Linked DNA regions of Rattus norvegicus. The protein of the gene in region 1 interacts with the protein of each later gene in a pairwise test. Links are inferred from orthologs where the notes say so. Each region holds a gene or a part of one and is shown in the gene's direction. Other genes may lie near its edges. The genes, in order: Golga2, Krt18, Zfp414, Morf4l1, Spata2, Rnf135 and Morn3.

The links.
Region 2: the proteins of Golga2 (region 1) and Krt18 interact in binary tests that used the Homo sapiens proteins (3 or more experiments, as listed by UniProt). The two-hybrid records come from large-scale screens. The link is inferred for Rattus norvegicus from reciprocal best matches to the Homo sapiens genes GOLGA2 and KRT18.
Region 3: the proteins of Golga2 (region 1) and Zfp414 interact in binary tests that used the Homo sapiens proteins (3 or more experiments, as listed by UniProt). The two-hybrid records come from large-scale screens. The link is inferred for Rattus norvegicus from reciprocal best matches to the Homo sapiens genes GOLGA2 and ZNF414.
Region 4: the proteins of Golga2 (region 1) and Morf4l1 interact in binary tests that used the Homo sapiens proteins (3 or more experiments, as listed by UniProt). The two-hybrid records come from large-scale screens. The link is inferred for Rattus norvegicus from reciprocal best matches to the Homo sapiens genes GOLGA2 and MORF4L1.
Region 5: the proteins of Golga2 (region 1) and Spata2 interact in binary tests that used the Homo sapiens proteins (3 or more experiments, as listed by UniProt). The two-hybrid records come from large-scale screens. The link is inferred for Rattus norvegicus from reciprocal best matches to the Homo sapiens genes GOLGA2 and SPATA2.
Region 6: the proteins of Golga2 (region 1) and Rnf135 interact in binary tests that used the Homo sapiens proteins (3 or more experiments, as listed by UniProt). The two-hybrid records come from large-scale screens. The link is inferred for Rattus norvegicus from reciprocal best matches to the Homo sapiens genes GOLGA2 and RNF135.
Region 7: the proteins of Golga2 (region 1) and Morn3 interact in binary tests that used the Homo sapiens proteins (3 or more experiments, as listed by UniProt). The two-hybrid records come from large-scale screens. The link is inferred for Rattus norvegicus from reciprocal best matches to the Homo sapiens genes GOLGA2 and MORN3.

What each region holds. Positions count from the first base shown.
Region 1 is NC_086021.1:35,987,961-35,991,856, forward strand, and holds part of Golga2 (golgin subfamily A member 2), read left to right. Parts: intron 1-2,445; coding exon 2,446-2,541; intron 2,542-2,787; coding exon 2,788-2,831; intron 2,832-2,930; coding exon 2,931-2,994; intron 2,995-3,340; coding exon 3,341-3,397; intron 3,398-3,571; coding exon 3,572-3,652; intron 3,653-3,896. UniProt on the Homo sapiens protein: Peripheral membrane component of the cis-Golgi stack that acts as a membrane skeleton that maintains the structure of the Golgi apparatus, and as a vesicle thether that facilitates vesicle fusion to the Golgi membrane.
Region 2 is NC_086025.1:135,034,932-135,039,327, forward strand, and holds the start of Krt18 (keratin, type I cytoskeletal 18), read left to right. Parts: upstream 1-1,236; 5' UTR 1,237-1,276; coding exon 1,277-1,672; intron 1,673-2,397; coding exon 2,398-2,480; intron 2,481-2,794; coding exon 2,795-2,951; intron 2,952-3,561; coding exon 3,562-3,726; intron 3,727-3,811; coding exon 3,812-3,937; intron 3,938-4,205; coding exon 4,206-4,396. UniProt on the Homo sapiens protein: Involved in the uptake of thrombin-antithrombin complexes by hepatic cells. When phosphorylated, plays a role in filament reorganization. Involved in the delivery of mutated CFTR to the plasma membrane.
Region 3 is NC_086025.1:15,120,837-15,125,468, forward strand, and holds Zfp414 (zinc finger protein 414), read left to right. Parts: upstream 1-1,583; 5' UTR 1,584-1,705; coding exon 1,706-1,708; intron 1,709-2,278; coding exon of another isoform or gene 2,279-2,314; coding exon 2,315-2,597; intron 2,598-2,854; coding exon 2,855-2,962; intron 2,963-3,071; coding exon 3,072-3,177; intron 3,178-3,588; coding exon of another isoform or gene 3,589-3,618; coding exon 3,619-3,953; coding exon of another isoform or gene 3,954-4,031; coding exon 4,032-4,096; 3' UTR 4,097-4,279; downstream 4,280-4,632. UniProt on the Homo sapiens protein: May be involved in transcriptional regulation.
Region 4 is NC_086026.1:99,527,249-99,531,144, reverse strand, and holds part of Morf4l1 (mortality factor 4-like protein 1), read left to right. Parts: intron 1-379; coding exon 380-460; intron 461-2,203; coding exon 2,204-2,229; intron 2,230-2,630; coding exon 2,631-2,719; intron 2,720-3,422; coding exon 3,423-3,524; intron 3,525-3,896. UniProt on the Homo sapiens protein: Component of the NuA4 histone acetyltransferase (HAT) complex which is involved in transcriptional activation of select genes principally by acetylation of nucleosomal histones H4 and H2A.
Region 5 is NC_086021.1:176,622,806-176,626,151, reverse strand, and holds the end of Spata2 (spermatogenesis-associated protein 2), read left to right. Parts: coding exon 1-169; intron 170-784; coding exon 785-2,005; 3' UTR 2,006-2,538; downstream 2,539-3,346.
Region 6 is NC_086028.1:65,671,257-65,675,152, forward strand, and holds part of Rnf135 (E3 ubiquitin-protein ligase RNF135), read left to right. Parts: exon of another isoform or gene 1-1,484; coding exon 1,485-1,628; exon of another isoform or gene 1,629-3,548; intron 3,549-3,896.
Region 7 is NC_086030.1:39,183,363-39,187,258, forward strand, and holds part of Morn3 (MORN repeat-containing protein 3), read left to right. Parts: intron 1-1,021; coding exon 1,022-1,179; intron 1,180-3,163; coding exon 3,164-3,323; intron 3,324-3,896. UniProt on the Homo sapiens protein: Assembles a suppression complex (suppresome) by tethering SIRT1 and MDM2 to regulate composite modifications of p53/TP53.

The sequences.
Region 1 (3,896 bases):
GAGACGAGGATGGGAAGCCCATCCTACACAGTGAGAGCCCGTCCGGAACCAATACCAATACCAGACTAAATGCACAGGACAAGAGTTACGCGGCCTCCAGGATGTCTAATGTAGCCACAGGAAAGTTGGTTCCCAGTGGACTCAAGGCTGGAGAAGGGGCGTTTGCAGCTACTTTGACAATGAAAGATGGGTCATGATCATACACACGGAGAGCTGAGGAGCAGAGAGCTGACAGGCGGAAGGGCACTTTTCAGAGACTCAGCATCCACGTGTGACAGGACCTGTGTTCACAGGGCTTAGAGCTGGCTTCCTGGATATAACCTAGTTCTTCAGTTAACATGTTAGGGGACATCCACCAAACAAAAGGAGCAGGCTTCTGTCCAACTGAAGGGGTGGCCTGAGCCAAGGCCACATCCTGTGGGGCTGAGGATGGGCGGGGTGAGGACTCGCAGGCTGGCATTGGGCTGTTTTCAGCCAACAGAGCTGATCCTGCCAGGTGTGGTCGGCTCAGGTGCTGTGCCTCCGTGCTCAGCTCAGACGTGGCACATTGTGCGTGTGGGAGTTGGGGGCACAGAGTTGGCATTTGTTGTGCTAAGGAGTCAGTCACACAGAGCTGGGGCTTCAGTTTCCCCTTTGGGAAATACTGACCAGAGCACCTAGCCCCTCTGTTCAGGAAGTGAAGACTTTTCATGTGTTTATGAAAACTTTCTTGAACCATAACTGACTTTCTACTCCAGGGATAAAGGAAATTGGCATCTTCTGAGTAGAAATAAAACAGGAAGTTATGGAAAAATAAAAATAGTTTCTGATGGGATGGGGTATTTTGAGGAGAGTGAAAACTTTGTAAGCACTCCATGCTTAGCTCTAAGACTTAAAATTGGGGAGTTACATGGTTCCTCACAAAGCAATTGAAAGTCTCCCAACAGTGCGTGGTGTCCCATCTTTATAATCCCTGCTTTTGGGAGGCAGAGGCAGAAAGGAGGTCTCTAGTTTGAGGTCAGCCTGGGCTCTATAGCAAGTTTGAGGCAAGCATGAACTTCAGAGAGACCCTGTTTCAAAACCTAAGACAAAAACCAAAAGGTACTCAGACAAATATTTTTATCTATTTTGTGCCTCTGTGAATGTTGCCAGGCTTAGAGATGTGTGTTACTAAGATGCTACAAGGGACCCAAAGCCTAGAAGGGTCTGTTGCTGGGAATGTCACACCTCCAGACTATCTCAGGTGTGGCCAGCTGCCACTGAGTCCCTGGTCTTACCTGTTAGACTCAACTGTAGACATTGTCAAGGCAACACCTAAGTGTGATTCAGAACTGACAGTCACATGTGTTACAGGGACGTTAGTCACAGTAAACCTGAAGAGAATGAAGTTCACACTTGAGTTCTCAGACGTCCTTTCTCACTTACTCAAAGGAGGAAATTTGGTTAGCATCTCCAGAGGCTGAGACTGAAGGCTTCAGAAAGCAAGCAGCCATTTCTTTGGAGAAAGGAATGGCCACTTCCTCCCAGAGCAGCCTTGCTGGATAGGCCTGGAATTTTTGTCCCTCTCCTTTTGTCTTCCCATCCTTTGCCTATTTGGATTGTTGGACCTGAGAAGACCTCTAAGCCAGAGACATAGTCTAAGAGTGAGGCCTGAACTACCAGGCCTAGGGGTGTGCGCACACCTTTAATCTAGCACCTGGGAGGCAAAGGCAGGCACAGCTCTGTGAGTGCAAGGCCTTCCTGGTCTACAGGGTGAGTTCCAGGACAGCAAGGGCTACATAGTGAGCCCCTGTCTCAGAAAATAAAACAAACAAGTGAGGCCTGAGCCTGAGGAGGAGCTGGGTACAGCTGGTCAAGCAGATAGTTCCTGCCAGGGAAGTGGGGAGACTTCTACAAGCTGCCATATAGGAAATCCTAGGATTGGTCCCTGGCTGCTTTTCCTAGGAAGCTTACATGATCTTCTAGATACTTCAAGCCAAAGGGCAGCCATTGTTCTCTACTTTACTCAGTTGTTTCTGAATCGACAAACACAGCCAGTGCATGGGTCTGGGAGGAGGGAAGGCAGGAAAGCAAGAGGAGAGGGAGAATGGTTATGTTGACCCTGATGATGAGTCCATCCCAGGAGCAAGACCTATAGTCAGGGGCCGTTAGCTCTCTGCCTCCTGCACTTGGCACTTTGTCTACCTGCTGTGGCTGCCACAGGTCAGAGCTCCATAGGGAACTAGGTCCTTGTGTATTCAGGAAGGAGCCCCTGCAGCCCCTGCTTTGAGCTCTGGCCCTTCAGAATGCTACTAAGTAGCCTGAGACCTGGGCATGTCTTGTCTGTACCCCAGTAGCTCCCAGCATGTGCAACTGTCCTGTGCCTGCCGCTGTGCTACCCTGCTTGCCCCATCACCTCGTGTCCGTGGCATTGAGGCCCTTCTCTCCTGCATGGTCTTCTAACCATCCTGCTCTGTTCTATGACAGGTGCCCACAGACCACACTGCTCCTGCACCACCAAGTACTGCTGCTGCCACTATGTTTCTTGGTGTCGTCCCTTCCCCCGATGCTGATCTCATTCAGGTTTGTCTTTTCTTCACTTTGCCTGACACTCTCCTGTCTGCTTCCTGAAGGACTCCCAAAGTTCTTTGAACTCTTTCTCTCTTCAGATAGCTTGGTCCAGGTGCTGCTCCGGGAGCCTGGCATGGGGAGGCCAAGCTGGGGAAGGCTTGGGAAGATGGGTGTTGAGATGAATTTGGCTCATGGTGTCCCTGTGTGACAGTAAGCAGAAGCTGAATAATGTTACCTTGTTTCTTTCTACCCACACAGAGCCACGATGCTGGCAATTGCTCTAACCTCATGGAGGAGACCAAGTAAGTGTTCCCTACTGAGGGAGTCAGGGCAGGCCTCTGCCCATGAGCCCTGTTTCCATCAAACTACCTGCACCCCTGATCTTATGTCTCCTCCCTTAGGACTTTCTCATCGACTGAGAGTCTGCGACAACTTTCTCAACAGCTCAATGGCCTTGTGTCTGAGGTACCACAGGACTGGGGTCCAGAGAGAAGGTAGAGAGGAAAGGAAGGCACAGTAGAAAACGAGGCAGGGATTCCCGAGCGGCTCTTGTCATGCTTGGAGAAGACCTGGATTTGGACCTCGATGGGCAATGTGATTTTATCCTGTTTATCCTGGTGTGGAAAGTTCGAGGTGACAGCTGTTGAGCAGCGGGGTTGAGCCATGGGGGTTTAGGGGCCATGAGGAGTGGCACAAGAGGGTGTGAGTGAACAGGAAAGCAGACTCTGCTAGTTGAGGGGGAATAGGAGGCTGCAGGGATTAGACAGTGAGGGTCACAGAGCATCTCCATGAGAGGTATTGTCTCTCCTAGTCTACATCCTACATCAACGGGGAGGGCCTCACGTCTTCCAACATGAAGGAACTGGAGGTAAGTGGCCTTGAATCATGGCCGAGCAACCCTTTACGCCAACCACCTATCTCCTCCTACAGGGACCTGGGTGCCCGCTGCCAGCTGAGACAGCCCACCACCCCCACCCCTAATGATGCTCTTTCTCCCTTTCCCCCATCCTTCCTCAACTCCTCCTCTCTGCATGCGCCTCAGAGCCGGTACCAAGAGCTAGCAGTAGCCCTGGACTCCAGCTATGTAACAAACAAACAACTCAGTAGCACGATAGAGGAATTGGTAAGAGTCAGCGGGGTCCCTGATTCTTGCTGCCAGTCCTGGGCTCCAGTTTCCCCTTTGGGCTCTGAAGAAAGGGACTAGGGGGCCCCTGGGACCAAGGGGGAATGGAAAACCTAGGGGCTTCCGTCTTAGCTGGAGGCAGCCAGAGCATAGAGCATGCAGCATGGTTCCTGTTGCTCTCCTCTCTGCACTCCAGACTCCCTCCTGAGTCTGCGCCCTCCCAGTCCTGAGCTTGGTGCCTCCA
Region 2 (4,396 bases), on another chromosome or scaffold:
GGGCTCCTCCTGCTGACCAACTCCAACCTCGGGGGGGTTTCTCCCTCTTCATTCAGCAGGAGTGGTCGTCCAGCTGGGGGGGGCGGGGGGAGTGGGGTGTCTCTTTTCCCCAGGGGATAAGCCAGAAAGACAGAGAGCATTATAAAAACTGGCCAGGAAGGAAAGAAGACTCAGGGAGCAGAAAAAGGAGGCAGATTCAAGGGAGCAACAGAAATCCGGATGGAGGGGCAGGCAATATGGTTCAAACTTAGTAGGGCGTTTCTGATATCTGGTCTAGCGACTCAGACCCCAACCTGTCCAGACACAATGGATAGGAGGGACAGTGATTTCTCACCCTTGCTGTTCTCATGGCTACTAGAAGGTATCTAGCAAATACTGGTTAAATCTATGTGCTCTTGGGCTGACCAAGTTCTCAGCTATGAGGCCTTGGGTTTGATCTTCAGCACCCTGTAGGCTGAAAGTGATGGATGTCTCATGCCTGGGACCCCAGCACTTCAAAAGTGGGACGGAATGACCAGGAGTTGATCCCCATCCTCTGCCACATGGAAAGTTCAAGGCCAGCCTGAGCTACTTGAGACCCTGTCTCAAAAAGAGAAGGGTGAGGGAAGAAAGAAAATGGTAGGTGTCCGGATATGGGATGCCTCTTCTGCATAATCACAAAGGTCCCGCTAAAGCCTCCTGGGAGTGAGTTGAGTGAGGACCTGTGTCCCCACGCGTTTGAAAATATGTATTTCCATGGTTCCCTATGGAGCCACAGCAGTGTCTTGGGACTGGAGCGAGGTGGTTGGGGGGAGGACCAAGAGACCTGCGCTCAGGTTCGTGTTTCTCTTCCTCTTCTTGAGCTCCCAATTTTCTTTCCCCAGAATTCCTGGGGTTCCACGATTGCCCCCAGACTTAAGCAAGGAACACACCACAAAATCTTCACCCTAATGGATCCCTCTTCTATCTATGTAAAAAAGATATTAAAAAACGCCATTTCCTGCCCTGAAAACAGACACTCAAGGGCTAACACTACCTGCTATCCTTTGTGCACCCATTAGTCACCCCCTCCCTGTGTCGGTGACGGTGGCAGGTATGTGCAGAAGCCAAGAAGGGCTGCGACCCGGTAGGTCACAGGAATCCCGTTCTTGGCGCCCGCGGCTCCGGTGGCGGGGGCGGGGCCTGTTGGGGAGGTCCCACCTCCTCCCTTGCCGATATAACAACAGGTCGAGGACTGCCACCCACCGCAGCGGAACTCCAATCCTGGTCTCTCGCTTCGTTCTCCTCTCCAGACAAGATGAGCTTCACCACCCGCTCCACCACCTTCTCCACCAACTACCGGTCCCTGGGCTCTGTGCGGACTCCCAGCCAGCGGGTCCGGCCTGCCAGCAGCGCAGCCAGCGTCTATGCAGGTGCTGGGGGCTCAGGGTCCCGGATATCCGTGTCCCGCTCTGTCTGGGGTGGCTCCGTGGGGTCCGCAGGCCTGGCGGGAATGGGTGGGGTCCAGACTGAGAAGGAGACCATGCAAGACCTGAACGACCGCCTGGCCAGCTACCTAGACAAGGTGAAGAACCTGGAAACCGAGAACAGGAGACTAGAGAGCAAAATCCGGGAATATCTGGAGAAAAGGGGTCCCCAGGGCGTCAGAGACTGGGGCCACTACTTCAAGACCATCGAAGATCTGAGGGCTCAGGTAAGGGGCCTGAAGGGGGAAGGGAGCAGTAGCTCCCGATTGTTCTGTCCGTCCAATGCTCCCACACCCCCAAACTTGAATAGGGTGTGGGCGATTGACTCCCTCCACTCATTCCCCATTCACCACACACCCCTACTACATGGGACCGAGTTAGGAATACTCTGGATTCCCCACCCACAACCTGTGGGAATTCCAAGCGTAGTGGCTCCACAAGGGAGCCGGCTTCCCCAAAGCAGTGTAGTGGGAAGGGAACAGGATCAAAAGCATCGCAAAAAAAAAAAAAAGGTCATAAAACGAACCCAGACACTCACTTCTTTTTCAGTGGGGACAGTTAGAGGGTTAAGCGGATGTAGCTAAGGCTGAGTCATCTAGGAGTAAACAGGAGCCTACCTGTAGGAGGGGCCAGCGGGGCGGTAGGGGGGGCGTCCCAGGACAGGGGTTTAGCAGGTGCACCTGGAGAAGATGCCAGGAAAAGAAGATCAGAGAAGTCTTGTTGGAAGCTGCTCTTTTGTAAGCAATCCAGATAGTACAGGCTCCAGGCAGAGGGGCAAGGAGTTCAGGAAGGGAGAGGGAAGATAGAAGCACTGGCCCTCTGGCTGTTCCTGGGAGTGGGATAGATTCATCTGAAACATAAGACCTGTTTTCCCACCCTCCGCTCCTACACACACACACCCTCATTTGACCCGGAACTCCCAGAGCGACTCTCTCCACTGTAATCCACCCAGATCTTTGCGAATTCTGTGGACAATGCCCGCATCGTCCTGCAGATCGACAATGCCCGTCTTGCCGCTGATGACTTTAGAGTCAAGTAAGGCTGGGGCTGGGGCTGGGGCTGGGGCTGGGGCTGGGGCTAAGAATGGCCTACTCCTGGAACTGTGTTAGAGTGGGGTTCCTTCCTTTCGGAGGCTTATCCGGGTTAGGGTCCATTGACTACTACTGAGTTAGCTATTCACCTGGGCACCCCAGTTTAAGCACACAGTCCACAGCCAAGAGTAGAGCTGAGGGAATGATACCTGACTCCATGACCGGTTTATGGTGGGCACGAGGCTACTCTATGAAGGTGGCACTGGTTGAGAAGGTTCTAGACCAGGTGGGGCCCGCTGATCACCTCCACCCCCTCAGGTATGAGACGGAACTGGCCATGCGCCAGTCTGTGGAGAGTGACATTCATGGACTCCGCAAGGTGGTGGATGACACCAACATCACGAGGTTGCAGCTGGAGACAGAAATCGAAGCGCTCAAGGAGGAGCTGCTGTTCATGAAGAAGAATCATGAGGAGGTAAGTGGGGGGCCACCGACCAGGCCTGGGAGTTAAGGGCGAAGGCTACGTGGCCCACGCTGCCCCCAAAGCAGCCTTACACGGAAACAGCAGCCTAGGCGGTTTTGATTCAGAGCAGAGCCATTGGCTCATATATGTTCTATGGCTCACCCAAGTTGTGCTGTTAGGTCAGGGTAGGTTAGGGCCTGGCTTGTGAAGCCCTACCGCTTGGAAAGCTGAGGCAGGAGAATTAAGTTCAACACACAGCCTGTCTTACTAGATAGAGTAAAACAGAGATTGTGTGAGTAAGACCCTGAATTGGAGACAAAGGTGGGGACTGCCAGCCTCAGGAACTGGCGTTGATGGCGGAGCTGCGGGCCTTCTGGAAGAAGCTTAAGGTAAGACATGTGAAAGGAAGAAGCAGCTAAAATGAGGAGAGGAGATCGCCTGTAAGGGGCTGGTTAAGGCTGCATTCTTGCCTAGCTGGAGCAGAAGCCCAGATCTAGGCCCGCCAAGAGTTTCTTTCCTGTTCTCTTCTGCCTCCGCACTCAACATCACCTTCTAGAAAACACCATCAATAATGAAAGGCTGACCTTAAGTGCCCATCCCACCTTGTGTCTGCCTTCTTTAGGAAGTCCAAGGCCTGGAAGCTCAGATTGCCAGTTCTGGGTTGACTGTGGAAGTGGATGCTCCCAAATCTCAGGACCTCAGCAAGATCATGGCGGACATCCGTGCCCAGTATGAACAGCTGGCTCAGAAGAACCGTGAGGAACTGGACAAGTACTGGTCTCAGCAGGTACAAACTAGGAAGGCTGTCTGCCCCTGTGTGAGAGGGAGGTGCCAAGGACGGCAGGTCCTGACTGACCCTCCTCATCCTTCAGATTGAAGAGAGTACCACGGTAGTCACCACCAAGTCTGCCGAAATCAGGGACGCTGAGACCACACTCTTGGAGCTGAGACGCACCCTCCAGACCTTGGAGATTGACCTGGACTCGATGAAAAACCAGGTGAGTGCCCTCCAGTTGCCTGCTGCAGTTCTGCTGGGCCCAAACCTATGATACTTGGCCTCAGCCCCAACTGTCTCATCTCTAAGCCTCCTCCACACCCCTAACCCAATCAAGAGATTCCCTAAGATGAGTCACTTCGATTTGATTTTCCTATTACTCCCACACTGTAGCCTAGCATTTGATAGACAAGAGGCATGAAGACCCTTTCAGAGAATGAAGGGTTGAGCAGGCTAGGACTAGGGACTCACCCTCCTATCTCTGTGTGCAGAACATCAACTTGGAGAACAACCTCGGGGAAGTGGAGGCCAGATACAGGGTGCAGATGGAGCAACTCAATGGGGTCCTTCTGCATCTGGAATCAGAGCTGGCACAAACTCGGGCAGAAGGACAGCGCCAGACCCAGGAATACGAAGCCCTGTTGAACATCAAGGTCAAGCTTGAGGCGGAGATTGCCACCTA
Region 3 (4,632 bases), on another chromosome or scaffold:
CCACCAGCCTCCACATGCACAAGCAACAAAGTACACATGTACCCATAATGTGACGATGCACCCACAAATACCCCACAAACATATATGCACATATCCATGTAACCACACATACAAAAATGGAAAAACAAACATTCATCAATGACTACATCAGAAACCATGGTTTCTTTCTCTTCCACTTCTCACAAGGTCTCCAGGACTTAACCAGATTCACTTTCTGACCTCCATACCACATCTTTATTCTGTTTCAATAGTGCAGAGGAGTCACCATTGCTCACCAAAGGGAGTTTGTTCTTTGCCAGCTCAGGATATGTGCCAGCTTCCCAGAGTGCTCTGCTTCCCCAAGCATAATTCAAGTCACCCCCTCAAACGGGTGTCCCCGACTCATCATTTCACAGATTTTGTTTGTTTTCTTATCTCCTGGGATAGATCCAAGATCATTTTCTGCTGTTGTTGATTTACTGTCTCTCTGTTTTCAGTGGTTGACTCCAGTCTTCCATGAGCAGTACCAAGTTCCCCCCTGGCACTTAAGGAAAGTGCACTTGGGATTCATGGTCACACCTCTCTACCTGTGGGATTTGCCTGTTGACCTAACCTGAAGATCCACAGTTACCAAGCGTGTTTCCCACATCGAGCTACTGTAACAGATTTGTTCTTACTGTAGATTAGATATGCTGGAAAATATGGTGCTTGCTAGGAAGAAGGTTCTGTGCGGACATAGGGACCAGGGCTCAGACCCACATGTAAATGAGTGTAAACACTTGGGTAAATGAGGAAGTCTGGATCCCCAGCACTCCCTGTGAGGCATGGCAACAACCTGTAACTGAGACACTTCAGAGGTGGACACGGGAATCTTCTGGCAAGTAAGCTAGCTAGATCAGTGGGAACTGGTGAGCTCCAACTTCAGTGAGAGATGTTGCCTCAATAAACAAAGTGGAGAGCAGTAGAGGAAGACAATGTCTACTTTGGGCCTCCACACTTACTTGCTCACATCTGTGCATATACATATTCATTTGTATATGTATGTGTATATAGCTAAGGATGTAGCTTGCTTTGTAGAGTGTTTGCGTAGCATATATGAAAACTCTGGGTTTGATACCTAGTACTGCCTAAAACCTGGTATATTGGCATCCAAGCTCAGGATCAACTTCTGTGTAAGGTGGGCCTGGGCTGAAACAGGGAGAAGGGGAGGGGAGAAAGCTGTTGTCAGTTTTCCCTAAAAAGTCCAATCGAAAGCATGTCTTTCGTTCACATACTCTACAAGCTAAGGCGGACTGAGAGTTCCAGGTTAACCTGACCTGGTAGACAAAAATTGCTGGTTTCTTTCTGAAATTTTATGTCAGACAGCAGAAGAAGGCATCGGATACCCCTACAGATGGCTGTGAGCCACCATGTGGTTGCTAAGAATTGAACTCATAACCTCTGGAAGAGCAGTCAGTGTTCTTAACTACTGAGCCATCTCTCCAGCCTATTTTCTGATTCTGTAGTGGGATTTATATGTACTCACCTGACTAAGAACAGCAGCCTAGTCTCAGGCCCCGCCTCCTAGAGAGGCGCCCAGAACTAGGCCACACCCCATATCTCGCGAGATCTGAGAAGCGGGAAAATGGCGCCGACGTGAGCGTGAGCCTGTGCCGCCAAGGAGGCCGCCCCTGCTGGAGCCAGAGCCACCGAAGGCACGGGAACCAGAGGTCTAACTGAGTAGAGGATGGTGAGCGCAGCATCCCGGACGCGGGCGCGGAAGAGCAGCGGGACTGATAGGGAGCGGTTCTGCCGCGCCTCCCTCCAGCGACCCCGCCCCCACATCCGGGTCCCCGCCCGCCGCTGACTGTCACTTAGTGAGCGTCCAGCCCCTTCAGTTAGGCCTGGCTTCTCTTGGGCCACGCCCACTCTCCTAGAGTTCAGCCCCTAAATTTAACACATTCTGGCCCTGAACTTCCCTGCTCAGCTCTAGCTCGACCTATATTCCCCTTCACACAATCCCCTCCTGGCCCTCCAGCATTTCCTGGTTGCTCCTCTAGGCCACGCCTCCGCTCCATCGTGCCTCTCCTGCCAAAGTTGAAAAGGAAGGGATGTTGATGATGTTCTTTTATGCATAATCCCTGATGACTCCTTCTGCAATTGGAGTTAGAAGACAGTAGCTCAGTTTGCCCTTACCTCCCTTACCGTGCTGATGACTCAGAAAGTGAAATGACTGGGGTAATATCTGGTGAAAGTGGAGGGAGTTCGAAACCTAGAGTCTTGTGGACCTTTGTAGTAGAAGGGCTTCCCTCTGTCCTAGGGATCCCAGTCTGATTCTAACCACGTCTTGCACCAGGAGGAATTATCCGGACCCAGCTCGGACACGCTGGCCACTGTAGAATCCAGCTCCAATGAGCCTGACAAGGAGGTGGCATCTCCGGATGTGGCAGCTACAGCCACTCTTTCCTCCGTGGAGGAGCCCGGCCCTAACCCAACAGCCACGCCACCAGTATGGGACCGTGGAGGACCTCTGCAGCAAGTTGCCTGTCCAGTCCCAGACAGCTGCCAGACTAGCTCGACCACCAGAGGCGTGGGGACCAATGAGGACCTTCGGTTGCCTAGACGACGTCCACCACCAGGTTATCTGTGGAGTTTCTGGGGAGTCCCATGCCTTTGATAGGACTGAGATGGTGCAGGATATCCCATTGGGGGGGTGGTCTTCACCATTTACTGTGCATCTTGTCAATATGTCAGGTATGGCTCCAGGGATGAACTAAACCAATCTAGCCCTTCCAGGAAGTTTATTCTAACAGTAGCTGGGTGGGGAGTGTTCAAGGCTTTGGGAATGAGGGGAGGTCAGTAAGGAAAAGATTAATGATACCCATTTATCCTGCAGGGAAACAAATACCCTGCTCTAGCCCTGGCTGCTCCCTCAGTTTCCCCAGTGTTCGAGATCTGGCACAGCATCTCCGTACCCACTGTCCACCCACACAGTCACTGGAAGGTAAGTGGAAGGTTGCTGATAGTGAAGCAGATTAGGGTGGAAGATAGGCAGAGCTCCCCAGGGTTAGTCTTAACCACCCCACTCCACATCTGCACTTTATCCCTACCAGGCAAACTCTTCCGATGCTCAGCCCTGAGCTGCACTGAGAGTTTCCCCAGCATGCAGGAGCTGGTAGCCCACGGCAAGCTGCACTACAAGCCCAATCGATACTTCAAGTGAGACCCTGACCATCCCCTCTGTCGATTCCCAATCTTTAGGGCTTCCTAACTGGAGGAAGGGTGGGTTGAAGTATGAGTATGGCCTGGGAAACCAGCCCCAACCGTGCATGGAAAACAGATGTGAATTAGGAGTAAGTCACTGTGGCTACAGGCTCAGTGTGGAGGTGCAGAGTACACATGCTGTGGTTCTGTCCAGTTCCACCTCATTTCTTATATGGAAAACTGGTCACCTAAGTAAAATCAAAACTTGAGAGTCTGAGCTGGAAAGATCCAGAAGACTACAGTGAAGGAGGGCATGGAGGCCAAGCTCCTTCACTTTGGGTACAGTACCACAGAGGTTCTAATGTAGATACCCTTCCCACATCCTGGTCCCTGGGTAGCAATGGATAGGCCCTTCCTGTTGCCCAGGAGACAGTCAAGTACTGTGCCTGCCTCCAGGTGTGAGAATTGCCTCCTGCGCTTCCGCACTCATCGCTCGCTCTTCAAGCATCTGCATGTTTGTATAGACCATGGTCAGAACCCAGCCCCGCCACCACCCCCTGCCCTGGACAAAGAGCCACCTGTACCTGAGCGTCCCCCAGAGTCCGACCCTTCGTCCTCCCTGGGCCTGCCATTCCCACTACTTGAGCCTTTCACCTCTGCCCCCACTGGGCCCTTCCTTCCTTACTTGAACCCTGCACCCTTTGGCCTGAGTCCCCCGAGACTGCGCCCATTCCTGGCTGCCACTCCAGGGCCACCGACATCCAGCACTGCCATCTGGAAGAAGAGTCAAGGTGAGTATAGGAGCAGGTTGCCTACAAAGCTGATTGAGCCTACTTTTATTCTGAACTTGAACTGCTTCTTTCCTACAGGTGCTACCAGTAGTCCTAGAAGACCTCAGGGCGGCTCCGATGCGCCCTCAGGTGCGTGCAGGTGACCACCAGGGACGGGTGGAGGGGCCCTTCATTCCTGTGCCCTAAGTGGGCCCTGTGAATGCTGGAAAGCAGCGGTGACTGTCCCTTAAAATACATGATTTTTGCCTTTCAAATGACTGGTATCTATGCCTTCATCTGGTATCTGTGCCAGTGTTCCTGTGTAAACATTTGTGTCTTGTTCTGTCTCTGAGTGGTTTTCTTCTATGGTGGGTCCAGGGATGGGAGGCAAATGTGGTACCTGCTGTGATGGGTAGTCAAGCCCAGGGAAAAGTCTAATCTGTCCTGGTTGACATCTACCATCCATGGTTGAAAGGCTCTCTGGAGGGAGACCCAGGACTCAGAGGCCTGCCTGCCTGCCTGCCTGCCTGCCTGCCTGCCTGCCTGCCTGCCTGTCTGCCTGCCTGCAGGGTACATGGCCCCCAGCCACATTGTGTGCGAACACATAGATGGCTGATATTCGTGTATACAGTGTGACTTCTTCACAGTCTCTCAGTCTGCCATTATACTGCACCTGCAGGACCACCACCCTGGCTACCCC
Region 4 (3,896 bases), on another chromosome or scaffold:
ACCCAAGTAAGTATTCTTAGCTGAAGAGCAGCCCTGATTTCACACTTTCTGTGGGAACTTACATTTTAAGACATTTTAACTCTTAAGAGTTAATCTGTACAACATAGACAATTTGGAACATTCTGAAAGTCCACTTATACTAACAGATAGGCTTTTGTCACTGTACAAGTCTTGCTGGCTGGGAACTTAATTACTAAGTAGACCAGGCTGGCCTTGACCTCACAGGCATCCATCGCTTCTGCCTCCAAAGTGCTGGGATTAAAAGTGTTTGCCACCATACCTGGCTGGGAAGCTCAGTTTAATAGAAATTCTAGGTGAAATCAATCAGATTTAATTTTTCTTAGATAAGTATAATGACTTTCTGACATTATTTTTGAAGGGAACAATATGCAGAGGGCAAGATGAGAGGGGCTGCTCCAGGGAAGAAGACATCCGGTCTGCAACAGAAAAATGTTGAAGTGTAAGATACTCTTTGCTTAAATATTGCATGCTGCTTTATGGGTATAATTTAAATTTACTTTTTATCATAATATATATTTTGTTTCTAATGGAAGCTTTTAAAAGTGTCAGTGAAATTCTTAATTCTCAGATACCAGGTTATTAAGGAAATGTAAATTGTTTTGGCAAGGATTACTTTCTTAGTGCTAAAAATACATGGGTAAAATGAGAGTGAGAAAGAAAAGTATAATTTGTTAACTCTGGATTGTAAGGCTTCTTGGTAACCATAATGTGAAAGTCAGTGTACACTGATCTCTAAAGGTTATGTAACTGAAAATGAGTATAGTAAGGTGACCAACTACATGATCTTTTTTTTAAGATTTTTATTTATTTTACGTGTGTGAGTACACTGTAGAGTGAGTACACTGTTGCTGTCTTCAGACACACCAGAAGAGGGCATCAGATCCCATTACAGATGGTTGTGAGCCACCATGTGGTTGCTGGGAATTGAACTCAGGACCTCTGGAATAGCAGTTGGAGCTCTTAACCACTGAGTCATCTCTCCAACCCCCAACTACATGATCTTAAATATTAGTTATACAAAAACATAGGGCACAACTATTATTGAAGGATAAGTTTTGTGTTCGTGGTTATAGGGCCACTCGGTGGAACCTGGGCAGCCTTACTAGTGGCCATACTCCTAAAGGGAAATGGCTCGCTCTTCCTCAGCAGCCATGAACTGCCAGTGGCTCCTCAACTGTAGGGCAGGTCTCATGGGCTCTTCAGTTCCTGCTGGAATGTTGGCTTGTACAAGTAACTCTAGTACAACTGTCATGTCCAGAAGTCAGCATTTCATGGCACTTTTTCCCTCCTGCTTTTACATTTGTTCCACACTCTCTTGGGCTTTGTTCCCTGAGCTCCTGGGTCTACAGCCCAGGTCCTGTGTGGAAAAGCAGCCAGTGTTCTTAATGACTGAATCATCTCTCCAGTCCCCTAGCATGTGGTTTTAACAGTTTATCTTTTGAGTACATATATACTTATAAATTTTAGCACTAGAAATCAGAACATTAGCAATTATTATATGAATTCTACTGTATACTTGAACTGCTTGCATATATGTTTAATAGGTAGCATGTAGATAATAGAAGCAAGACTGTTCAGGAATCCTTATTAGGAGTCATTAGAATGAGTGGTTTTAGATTAGTTGAGTAGTCATTCTCATATTATGGTACAGAGCTTGTGTATTAAGGATTAAGTATAATATTCCTTTTGGTTACCATGAATCATTAGCATGTACGTATATGCAAGTGAAGAAGTTCTTGATTTAAAGACTAGCTTCATACTCAAGAGATCTGCCTGCCTCTGCTTTTCCAATTTTGGGGTTAAAGATGTGCATCACCACACCTAGCCTTTTGTTGTTAAAATTATTTTTTGAACCTTTAAATTGATGTGTATATGGGGCTGTGTGTTCACAAGTGTGCAGGTCCTCACAGGGACAGGTGGATCTGAGTTCAAGGCCAGCCTGGTCTATATAGTGAGTTTCAGGATGCTAGAACTGCATAGTGAGACTGTCTATAATAATAATAATAATAATAATAATAATAATAATAATAATAATAATATCTAAAGTCAAGATTAATGTTTTGGGAAGCAGACTTAAAATATAGTCACTGATAATTTTGCTGGGCCATTTTTCTCTGAATTTACCATTCAAAGAATTGGAACAATTTTTATGGGAGTAATTTTTGTTTTTTGCTCTTTCCAGGAAAACAAAAAAGAACAAACAGAAAAGTAAGTATAAATGTTTTTAAAATTGACCTATTAATATTTCAGTTGTGAGTTCACTCTATGAAACTGACACTGGGACAGTATGTGGCTTAATGACCTCAAGTAGAGGTCTCACAGAGTTTGTAGATAAGGACGGAGTGGTTTTTATCTTGACTGCCTGAAAAGATGTGGTTGTTTTCACTGTGCTTTAGTCTTAGGGAGATAGCCTTTTAAATATGTTATTAAATATTTCCTAAGTAAAGTGTTAAATAAGTTTTTATTTTTATTTTTTTTTAAGAAAAACTATTCTATAAGTTGGATTAATTAAATATCTGTAATGGGGAAGTGAGAACTTACGACACTCTTTACATTAAGAATTTGTTAGTTAGCCAATACCAGCCCCGCCATTCTTAAACGTTTTGTAGCACCTGGAAATGGAGATGGTGGCAGTACCAGTGAGACCCCTCAGCCTCCTAGGAAGAAGCGAGCCCGGGTAGATCCAACCGTTGAAAATGTGAGTTTTCGTCTTTTCTTCTGGCAGGCTGTCCTAAAGGCCCTGGTGATCCTTCTCTACTTCCGCACTCTCTTCCCTTCCAATATTTATGTTTGAGACAGGATCTTGCTGTGTAAATGGCTAGTCTCTGCCTCAGATTTCCAAATGCTGGGGTTACTGGCACACGCTACCAAAGTGCAAAGGCAGGTTCTGGTTTAGTAACTGAAAAATTAAAAGTGTCTTTAAATAAAGATAAGCCATGTTAGCTGTGCCTAGTGGGGCAAGCTGTTACTTCTAGGACTCAGGAGGCAGAGACAGACAGATCTATCTTGTGAGTTTGAGGCTAGCCTTGTCTACATATTGAGTTCCAGGACAGTCAGAGCTACATAATAGGACCATGTCTAAATGGGGTGGGGTGGAGAAGAGAGAAAGTCATGTTTGGTATAAGCATTTGGATATCAAGAGTAAATGTGAAGAAGCTGTTAAGCTGTATTAAGAATATTCCATTTCCAAAAGAGGGAAAGGAGTCCTAATAACTCAAGACCATAATTTTTTTCCTGGCTATATGATTTCATGTATCTGTTCGCCTACAGAGCCCCACCCTGTATGGCAATTCCTTCTTTTGAGTGGTTCCTTCAAGGAATTAGTGTATACCTGATATCTTAAAGATCAAAAGAGAAGCAAAAAAAAGTTTGCAATACCTTTCTTTGCCTTTCTTCTTTAGGAAGAAACATTCATGAACAGAGTTGAAGTTAAAGTGAAGATTCCTGAGGAGCTGAAACCATGGCTTGTAGATGACTGGGACTTGATCACCAGACAAAAGCAGGTACCTTGAGAATGACACAGGGAGCGCTCAGAGTCTTATGATGAACTGTTATAATCTTGTTTTACAGGTGTTTAGTTTTTGCCTGCATGGCATGACCTATGTGCAGTGCCTGTGGAGGGCATTGGGTCTCTTAGAGCTGGAGTTGTAGGTGACTGTGATCCAGCACACAGAGTGGCGCTGGGAATTGAAACTTGGGTTCTAATGCTCTTAATTACTGAGCCATCTCTCCGATCCCTTAAAATTTTGTTGATGATTAAAAAAGTTAGAAGTTTGCTGGAGCAGAACTCTCCCAAAAACGCCAGTAGACAAAGGAGATACGTGCATCTTCAGTCTTAATGTGGTCACCATTAGAACATTTACACATGTCCTCAT
Region 5 (3,346 bases), about 140 Mb from region 1:
CCCTTTATATCGATTTCGGCTGATCCAGTTTTATGAGGTGGTGGAGAGCTCCCTCCGCTCGCTGAGTAGCTCCAGCCTGAGCGCTCTGCACTGCGCCTTCAGCATGCTGGAGACAATGGCCATCAACCTCTTCCTGTTCCCCTGGAAGAAGGAGTTCCGCAGCATCAAGGTGAGGTGGGGTGGCCGCCTCTGCCTGCTGCTCCCTCCTGAGTGCACGTGTCCCTGTTCTCAGCGCATGGGCTCTAAGCAGCTGGGAGCTGGTGTGGACCAAAGCCCCAGTTAAGGGGTGGGTGTGTGTGCGTGTTGGGGGTGGGGGTGAGAGAGTCTCACTTTCCATAGCAGGGGCACGGGTGAGTAGAGACTGCAATAAGCCAGGCTGGAACCCTAGCACGTTCCATTCGTTTACTTGTTTACTGTGGTGCTAGGATTAAATCTGTGGTGCATGCTTTACCCTGAGCCATGTCCCTACCTCGGTGTGTTCTTGAAACTTTGACAGAAGGCTCAAAATGCACATCTTCCATTAGGCTTAGCACACCCCCTCAATCCCATCCCTGTACTTCCTCCTGTGGAACAGAGCCTTCATACCTACACACAAACTCGGTGGTCTCTTTGGCCTCACAGGGGCCACGTGTATTCCTGGCTTGGTGGTGTGCATTTAGTGTGCTCTTGCCTGTGGTCTACAGGCAGAAGCCCCCATCTCTCCCTGCTGGTCCCGCTCTGCATTTGGTTTGAACAGGCCTCGCTATAGCATGCCTCTTTTTTTTCCTGCCCACTTTCTCCCTAGACCTACACGGGCCCTTTTGTTTACTATGTCAAGTCCACGTTGCTGGAGAAGGACATCCGAGCCATTCTAAAGTTCATGGGCTACGAACCTGAGTTGGGGACTGCATACAAACTCAAAGAGCTTGTGGAGTCCCTCCAGGTGAAGATGGTCTCCTTTGAGCTCTTCCTGGCCAAGGTCGAGTGTGAGCAGATGCTGGGAATACACTCACAGGTAAAGGACAAGGGCTATTCAGAGCTGGATGTGGTGACTGAGCGCAAGAGCAGCACAGAGGATGCACGTGGGTGCTCAGATGCCCTGCGGAGGCGGGCTGAGAGTCGAGAGCACCTGACCACTTCCATGGCTCGTGTGGCACTCCAGAAGTCAGCCAGTGAGCGCGCAGCCAAGGACTACTACAAGCCCCGAGTGACCAAACCCTCCAGGTCGGTGGATGCCTACGACAGCTACTGGGAAAGCAGGAAGCCCCCCTCAAAGGCCTCACTGAGTCTGCGCAAGGAGCCCCTGGCTATGGATGTAGGGGAAGACTTGAAGGATGAGATCATCCGCCCATCCCCCTCATTGCTGACCATGTCCAGCTCCCCCCATGGTAGCCCTGATGACCTTCCCTCCATCTCCCCCATCAATGGCCTGGGCCTTCTTCGTAGCACGTACTTCCCCACTCAGGATGACGTGGACCTGTACACGGATTCCGAACCCAGGGCCACCTACCGGAGGCAAGATGCTCTGCGGTCAGATATATGGCTGGTCAAAAATGATGCCCACTCCATCTACCACAAGCGTTCACCCCCCACCAAAGAGTCTGCCCTCTCCAAGTGCCAAAACTGCGGCCTGTCCTGCAGCTCCTCCCTCTGTCAGCGCTGTGACAGTGTCTGTCCTTCGGCCTCCAAGCCCAGCGGTTTTCCCAGCAAGGCCTCTGCACACGACAGCCTGGTCCATGGGGCACCTATGCGGGAGAAATATGTGGGACAGACTCAGGGCCTTGACCGGCTGGCAACTGTCCACTCAAAGCCCAAGCCCTCTACCACAGCCACCTCCCGCTGTGGCTTCTGTAACCGTGCAGGTGCCACCAACACCTGCACCCAGTGTTCAAAAGTTTCCTGTGACCCCTGCCTCGGCGCCTACCACTACGACCCCTGCTGCAGAAAGAGTGAGCTGCACAAATTCATGCCCAACAATCAGCTGAATTACAAATCCACCCAGTTCTCCCATCCCGTGTACAGATAGGCCCCGCCCCCCATCTTCTGCTACAAGGGCTATACACCACTGACCTGGCTTGGCAGCAGAGCTGTGCTGGAAGGGAACAGAGACTTGAGCTTGACCATGGAAGCGCCAGGGCTAACTGCTCTGTCACACAGCTCACTTGGCACACCACATCCCAGCCGGCAGCTGCTGTGTGATCTGAAGGACAGGATGGCACTTCCAGTCACTTTGCTGACCTCTCCACTCCCTGCTCAGCCGGTTTGGGTTTGGGTTCTGGTTCTGGTTCCCTTGAAATAAGGTCTCTGTCTCGGGACTCTTGCTACACCTGCCCCCCACTGCAAAGCCAGCTTGGACTGGGAAGGAGCCTTTGGGGTCACTTTCAAATCCTCATCAGGAGTGGTGAGCTAGAGGCCTGCTGGCTTGTGAAATGAGCCCTCCTGCCACACCCGGCCTCTGATGGCTCGCCTCTCTTTCTGCTCCCTTGATACAAGGATCCCTAGGCAGATGTCCCCACCCTTTGTCTCCCTCCAACTGGTATTAAAGGGGAGCCAAGTCCAGTGTTAGTTGAATCCATCTTGCCAGCTCCACTCAGTCAGCCCACAGTGTTGGCAAGCTCTGCTTGTCAGTTGGAAAGTGGACTCCATGGCAGGACGGCGTCCCTTCTGTTTGCATAACCCCTTTACTGTATTGTATATACAGAATTTGAGGTTTATTTTTAAATGAGTGTTCAACTTGCTGTGTGTTTCAACATGGTGAAAGAAATTAATGACATGATATTTATAAAGGTGCCCCGGGCTCTTTAGTCTTCCAAGGGGGGCTGCGTGCCCTTTCCCGGTGGGAGCTCGGGGTAGGGACTGATAAAGCCCATGTTTCTTCCCATGGTGGTAGAGAGCTACTGTCTTCCCTACAGTAAGTATTATACACCTACCTCCAGTGTGCACATGGGGTTAGCATGGTGCCGGGGTCTGCAAAGACCTCAGGGACAAGGTGGGGACCTCAGCCCTCACATCCATAGCTCTGGTCTTGGTGCCTGCTGAGCATGAATCTTGTACCCTAAACCTCGAATCTCAGAAGGAAGTTCAGGTGGTGGGGTCCTTCCCCTCATCTTGCCTTCCTCACTGATTCCCAGGGCTGTCAGCACGGCTCTCTGTCTTTTTGCACTAGGGTGGGCAGAGGTGGTGTGTGCTCATTAGATAGATGCCTCTCCAGTCTCAGCCAAGTATCCACGCTTTCTGGTATAAATCCCACTTCTGGATTTTCCTTTTTAGGGAGAGGGGCAGGGCAGGGATTTGAGGCTGTCACTTCCTTGTGAAGTGCTAACACACTTTAGCCATAGGCAGTTGTGCTGTCCAGTGTTTGGGATCT
Region 6 (3,896 bases), on another chromosome or scaffold:
CTTTCCTAAGTTTGACTCTTTCCTGTCCCTTCTCATGAGAGTTGGGCATATCTTTTTTTAAAAGATTTATTCATTTGTTATATATAAGTACCCACCAGAAGAGAACATCAGATCCCATTACAGATGGTTGTGAGCCACCATGTGGTTGCTGGGATTTGAACTCAGGACCCCTGGAAGAGCAATTAGTGCTCTTAACCACTGAGCCATCTCTCCAGCCCAGAGTTGGGGATATCTTATTTTGTCTATGATTTATCACTTTGTCTGTCCCTCAGTTAGACATAATTTTCAAACATGGCTGCTTCCTTCTACAAACTAATTTTACCTTCATTGTTTGGGATGAAAGGTGTGTGCCAAGGGCATGTCTGTAATTCTCTCCAGAGTAGCCATGTTCCTGGATTAAAATTCCTCTACAGTTCCTGTCTTCAGTTTCACACTTCGAGGCATGCACTGTCCCCGGCCTCCTCATTTATTTTCCTGTATAGTGTTAGGATAAGACTCTAACTTCAAGCAAGGTATGATAGTGTTAGGGTCTGAATTGCTGACAAATATGCCCTAGATTCTAATAGTATGCAAAAGCAGAGTGTCTATTGAGTGAACTCCTGCATGCAGGGACCCAATTCCATTGGGATGGAAGGACCCTGACCGAATCTGCAGATTCAGTTTTAAAGCCAAAAAGAGGAACATTAGAGAGGGGTAGGTGATCTGTATCCTGATTGGTCGGTTCTATCGCTGGGGGGTCTGGGTGATGCTGTCATTGGTTAGGGTTTTGCTTCAAGCATACTTGACTGACTATTCTTTTTTTTTTTTTTTTATTAACTTGAGTATTTCTTATATACATTTGACTGACTATTCTTGCTTCATGCCATGGAGGGGTAGCTCTAGACCTCTTGGCCACAAGCTTGGCTAACTGTCCTTTTGTAAGCTGGGGAAGGGTTTCTTTTACATAAGTCTGTGGTGTTCCGGGAACTGACAGTTCTGGGAAGTGGAAACCCAGGCCTGGTCTCCTGAACTGCTAGTTTGCAGCCTGTCATGGAGTCAGCCTGGCTCAGGCGGATTCACCCCTTTCATTAGCACATCACGTTCCTTTAATCACAGCACTTTGAAGGCAGAGGCAGGTAAACCTCTGTGAGTCCCAGGCCCGTCTGGTCTACACAGTGAGTTCCAAGACAGTCAGGACATTGTAGAGAGACCCTCCCTGTTTCAAAAGCAAAACAAACCAACAGAAGAATCTAACTTTATTTGTTCATGCCATTTTCCTGATGGTGTTTGTTGAAAGGACTCCTTGCCCCTTGGAGTAGCATTTGCATTTTCTCCCCCAACCCTGCCCCCCAGGGCTGGGATGAAAGGCATCACTTTATCCAGCTATTTTTCCATTGGTCTACCTGTCTGCTTCCTTGGCATTTAAAGCTTCTTCTATTGGGGGAACTATATTCCTGGGTCCAATTTTTTTTGTGAACCAGAAGCCCAATTGTGCTCTTTTAAAGGTGACAGTACAGAAAAGCACTACACAAGTTGTCCAGGAGCTGACTGAGCTGGTGGGACAGCTTGTAGACATTGTCAAGAGCCTTCAAACGCAAAGACCTAGCTTGGCATCTGGACTGGACAATGCTCTAGGCATCCTGCACATGGTAGGTTCAGGAGGGGAGAAGGGGCTGGGGTGAAAGACAGCTTCCTGCTAGAGCTGTCCGGGAGAGACGACACGCAACAGGTCTCAGGCTTTACTACTTATTCTCTTTATTGCCAAATATGGGTGATTGGGAAAGTGGCAGGCTGGCTTTGAGTTAATGGAAGCTTTAAGTAGGCTGGGATCCATCCTTCCCACTCTACATGATTCACTCTCTAAATCCACCAACAATACCTAGGTAAATCCCACAGGTTTGAAAGTCCTCATCTTCAGTGTCCCTTAAAAATCTTTATTTATTTATTTATTTATTTATTTATTTTTGGTTCTTTTTTTCGGAGCTGGGGATCGAACCCAGGGCCTTGCGCTTCCTAGGCAAGCGCTCTACCACTGAGCTAAATCCCCAACCCCAAAAATCTTTTTAAAGATGTGTTTATCTTATTTTATGTTTTTGGGTGTTTCGTCTGCTTTTATGTGTGTGCACCGTGTGCATGCCCGATGTCTGAGTAGGGCAGAGGAAAGAGGACGATGGATCCCTTAGAATCAAAGCTATAGATGGGCGCGAGCCATCATGTGGGTACTGGGAATTGAACGCAGGTCGTGTGCAAGAACACTGACAAGCTAACAAGCTGACAAGCTAACTCTCCAGCCTCACTCAGTGACCTTGCAGAAAGTATTTTTATTATTGTGTGGAGGGGAGTTTGTGTGTGCCGGGGGGATTGTGTAGAGGGGAGGGTATGTGTGTTGAGAGGGTGTGTGTGCAGGGTCGGGTGTGTGGGGGTCAGAGCCCAGCTTTCCGGAGTCTGGGTTCCAGGAATCTAACTCGGGTCATCGGATTTGTGCAGCAAGCACCCCGCTTCCTTTTGAGATGGAGTTTTGTTGTTCACCAGGAACTCATGGTCCTCCTGTACCAGCCTCCTGAATCCTCCCGAGTTCCACTACGCTCAGTCCCCAGTTGCTTTATTTGCTTTTGTTTTATGTGGTAGGATCTCTAGCCCAGACTGGCCTTGAATTCAGTATATAATGAGAGCTGGCCATGAACTCCTGACCCTCCTTTCCTGTTTCTCTGTAGGTATGCAGTTTTTGCAACCTACTATTTATTTATTTATTTATTTATTTATTTATTTATTTATTTATTTATTGTATGCACGTGAGTACACTGTAGCTGACTTCAGACACATGAGAAGAGGGCATTGGATCCCACTGCAGATGGTTGTGAGCCACCATGTGGTTGCTGGGAATTGAACTCAGGCCCTCTGGAAGAGCAGTCAGTGCTCTTAACCACTGAGCCATCTCCAGCCCTTGGAAACAGTTCTTGGGAGAGCTTCTCTCAATGGCTGTGTATCACAAGTTGAGCTCAGCAGTGCTATGTAAGGCAAACATACAGTGCTTGTCTCCACTGTCTATGGGGCCACATTGATACTCCTTCGTCAAGCGTCCTTTCACCTGTGTCTGCTTCAGGACAACAGTCTCTCACATGTTTGCTTTAGCAAGACATCCTTCCACCTGTGAGCCCCAGCAAACAATCATTTGACATAAGTTTCCAAAGACCTAGAAGCTTCCACTTCGTTTCTCAACGTTTCCTTCTGGCTGTCTCCAATACAGCGCAGTTCCTCTGGGGAGTCTCCATCACTGTCTTGGTCTCATTCTTCCAAACACACAAGTCAAAAGCCTGGAAGTCATGACACTTCCTGTGCCTTAACCTGCCTAGCAGAGCACTGTAGCTCCAAGGCCAGCTGAAGATCTTCCAGCTCTACTCATGCCTGAGCTCCTCTGAGACTTCTCAAGTCCAGGCCGATGACAGTCTCTTGCCTGGGTTGTCATCGTAGCCCTACAGATGTTCCACTTTATCTTAGTTAGCTTTCTTCATCTAACTCATCCACCTGAAATACTCTGACGATGTCTGAATAACAGTGATAACCGGCTTCTGAAATGGAAAAAAGTTTATTTTAGGTCACTATGTATAGGAGTCCAGGGGCACTGGCAGGAATATGTGGTAGGGCAGAGCCTCACAACCCCAAGGCGGGGGAGAAAGGAATGGGACTGTGCTTCCAGCAACCCTGACAACCTTGCTCCACTCACCTGCTGAAGGCCTCACTGCCTCCCAGTCCCCTAAATCATCGCCCTCTGGGAGAGTAGCCTTCACCGATTTCCTTGAATGAATCAAACTCCCTGTCAGAGACTCTTAAGATTTCACATGCCTTTTTTTTTTTTTTAAGATTTATTTATTTTACGTATGTATGTACACTGTAGCTGTCTTCAGACACACCAGAAG
Region 7 (3,896 bases), on another chromosome or scaffold:
TCCTCCCACTGTGGCTTCCAGAGAGCAAAGTCAAGTATCAGCTTGCAAGGCTAGCACTGTTTTCCCATGAGCCATCTCTCCAGCCCCGACTTACTTCAATAATTTCAATGCTGTACATCGGTCCCCAAAACCTTATGCTACAATAACCTTAGACTCACATCTCTCTCCCTCTCTCCTGCTGGCTTCTGGCATTCACCATGTTATCCTCTATTTCTATGAGATTGACTTCCCCACATAAAAGTAACATCACCTGGCACTGGTCTTTCTGAGTCTGGTTTATTTTTATTTTTTATTTTATTTTAGGTCTTTTGAGACAATTTGTATAGCCTAGGCTTCCTGGAACTCATTCTGTAGACCAGGGGCTGGCTAGCCTTGAACTCAGAGACCCACCTGCCTCTGCCTCCCGAGTGCTGGGATTAAAGGCATGTGCCACCACTGCATGGCTGTTTCATTCCTATATATATATATATATATCCCATTATATGATTCCTTTATAGATGGTTGTGAGCCACCATGTGGTTGCTGGGAATTGAACTCAGGACCTCTGGAAGAGCAGTTGCTGCTCTTTACCACTGAGCCACCTCTCCAGCCCTCTTGTTCATCTTAATATCCTTCCTGTTCATCTACATTGTAAAGGGCAGGATTTCTTTTTTCTTTCACTGTTGGAAATTGAATCTAGGTCCTCACACCATTTCCTGCCCCCCTTTTTACTTTCTTTTGGGGACAGAGTCTCTAGATATTGCCCAGGCTGGACTGGAACTCACCATCCTCCTGCCTCAGCCTCACCTCTCATTAAGGTTTGCCATATGGGTCTGGCTGTTAAACAATGGGCAGGGAAATCACTGTCTTTAGACATGGAGCATCCCTTTCTTCTGTGTGCTTATAGTCTAGAGATGAGGCACAGACCCTATTCCAGTTCTGAAGAAACTGTTCAGGGCAGAGGACCCCAGGGTCCTGGCATGTGGCTTCCAGCTTCAGGGTGGCAGCCACCTGCAATGTTGGCCCATCCATGTGTCCCCAGGGAAAGGAACACAGGTCTGGAAGCAGAGTGGTGCTATGTATGAAGGGGACTGGAAGTTTGGGAAGCGAGATGGCTATGGCATCCTCAGTCATCCTGACCCAGAAACTGGAAAGCTCAAGAGGGTGTATTCAGGCTGGTGGAAAGGTGACAAGAAATCGGTGAGTGGTTCCCAGCATGCCTTGCCTGTCTGTAGGTAAGGGTAAGAGCCAGGCTGTGTGTGTGTGTGTGTGTGTGTGTGTGTGAGAGAGAGAGAGCACTCAGTGTGTGTGTGTGTGTGTGTGTGTGTGTATGTGTGTGTGTGGGCCCTGTCTGTGTTTGTGTGTGTGTGTGTGTGTGTGTGTGTGTGTGAGAGAGAGAGAGAGAGAGAGAGAGCACTCAGTGTGTGTGTGTGTATGTGTGTGTGTGTGGGCCCTGTCTGTGTTTGTGTGTGTGTGTGTGTGTGTGTGTGTGTGGTGTGTGTGTGTGTGTGTGTGAGAGAGAGAGAGAGAGAGAGAGCTCAGTGTGTGTGTGTGTGTGTGTGTGTGGTGTGTGTGTATCTGGTGTGTGTGTATGTGTGGTGTGTGTGTATGTGTGTGTATCTGGTGTGTGTGTGTGTGTGGTGTGTGTGTATGTGTGTGTGGTGGTGGGGGCCTGTGTGTGTGTGGTGTGTGTGTATGTGTGTGGTGTGGGGGGGCCTGTGTGTGTGTGTGTGTGTTGTGGGGGGGCCTGTGTGTGTGTGTGTGGTGTGTGTGTGTGTGTGGTGTGTGTGTGTGTGTATGTGTAGTATTTGTGTATGTGTGGTGTGTGTGTGTAGGAGAAAAAGAAAGCAAGTGCGTGAGAGAGAGTGCCCGCTCAGAGGGCAAAGGTGGGAGGTGGTTTGCTGGGTGGGAGAAGGAAGGGGTAGAGGAACTGTAGCACTTTTCAAAACCAAGAAAACAGGAAGCAAGAGAAGTGGGGGCCCCAATGAGGAACCCTTTAAAAACTCTATGGCTGCAGGGAGGCAGCAGACAAGGTCTCCTCCACCCTCTTCCCCCGTTTCCTGGCTTTCTTCTCCTGGTACCCCATTCTGAGAATCCTCTTCCTCCTGCTAGCCTGAGTCAGATGGGAGGCTAGGACGCAGGGCATGGAGGTGCAGAGCTGTGATCTCAACAACCTGACGGTCTCCACCTTCAGGAGAGTGAGTTTGAGGCCAGCCTGGGCTACATAGAGAGCCTGACTGAAAACAGGAAACAAGGACAAAAGAAGAAGGGGTGTGGGGAGAGAAGCTAGCCAGAGGAAATTCCACAAACATTCATTCTACTGCAGACATATTAAAAAAAAAAAAAAAAAACAACCAACTTGTATTGATCCTTGCTGTAAGCATGGAGTCTGATAATTATAAATGTTGCCGTTGAGCTCTTACTGTACATGACACTTGAGTTCTTGTAACAGCTCTGTCAACATCGGTCTTCCGTTTTACTACGGAACAAGTTCAGGGAGGTGAAGCACCTAGCCTGGGGTTGGTGACACAGCTAACCAGCTGCAGAGCCCAAGATTTCATGTTCTTTGCTCCCGGCGGAAAGACTGATCCTAAAACAAATGATTTATTTGCCTTTATGGAAAGTCAGCAGTGGTTTCCCGGGGTTGGGAGATCAGGTAATCTAACCTAGAAAATACAGCGCAGGAGGTCAAATCAGAGCAGCCAGGAGCTAGCCCAGTAGACATGAATTGGTAGGAAGAAATAAAGTTACCAATCAGCAGGTCTTACTTGCTCTGGGGGAGGGAAAGAGAGTAGTGAAAAAGTGGCATTGGGATTTTGAAGTGCAGACCTTAATGCTACTTAACCAAGCCACTTTGAGCACGATCTCCAATAGCTTCCTGCTGTTAGTCTCCAAATGTAACATTTATGTTTCTAAGGAGACAGGTGAGTAGAGACTGGCTGTAATCAGAGTTGGGTGGCTGATCCTACGGGGTATAAAATATCCTTCTGATGGCTGTATAGAGGGTGTGTGGAAGTGGGGTCAGAGATAAGAGGACCAGAAAAGAGAAATTATGCGGGCGGTATTCAGGCGGTGCAGAAATGAACTGAAATATGCAGCTAGAATTCTTTGACCTCTGCTAGGAGAGCAGGAGGAGACTCAGGAGTGAGAATTGGCAAATAGTGGGACACCTTCCTGCTTTCAGGGCTATGGGATCCAGTTTTTCGGACCCAAGGAGTATTACGAGGGTGAGTGGTGTAGCAACCAGCGCAGCGGGTGGGGACGCATGTACTACAACAACGGAGACATCTACGAAGGCCAATGGAAGAACGACAAGCCTGATGGGGAGGGCATGTTGCGGCTGAGTGAGTGCCCCGCCCCATGAAACCACGCCCCAAGGCTTCCTGGCCCCGCCCCATCCCGGAAAGATCTCCTCCCACACTCGCTGCCCCACCAGCCATAATACCTGTCCCATAATACCTGTCTTGTTGGCCCTGAAAAAGTGAGATTCCGATTTTTCAATGAGGTCCAACTGAGCTGAGGTCATGGATCAGCTGGGAGGGCAGAGGCGGTCAAGTCTGTATGTCTGTCTTGAAGTCCCTATCCTCTGCAAGGAGCCTGCCTTCAGTGAGCCTCCACTGAGCATAAACTGGATTTAGAGAGCTCTTGCTAAGCAGAGCAAATGTTCCAGGAGCTTCTCATGGTCTGGACTTTGGGCGAGCCTGCAGGAATTCAGATCCTGGTGGGAGCTGGGGCTAGCTCTGGGACGCCGGGCAAATGTCTAGTTTAGTTTAGTAGTTTTTAGTGTGAGGGCCTTTGAGTCGGTTCGGCGGGTAACTCACTCAATGGTGAGTTGGGCTTCCAAACAGATCTGACCACTTGAGTTTGATCCTGGGTCCCACAAGGTAGGAGGAGAGAACCGATTCTCCCAGACTTGT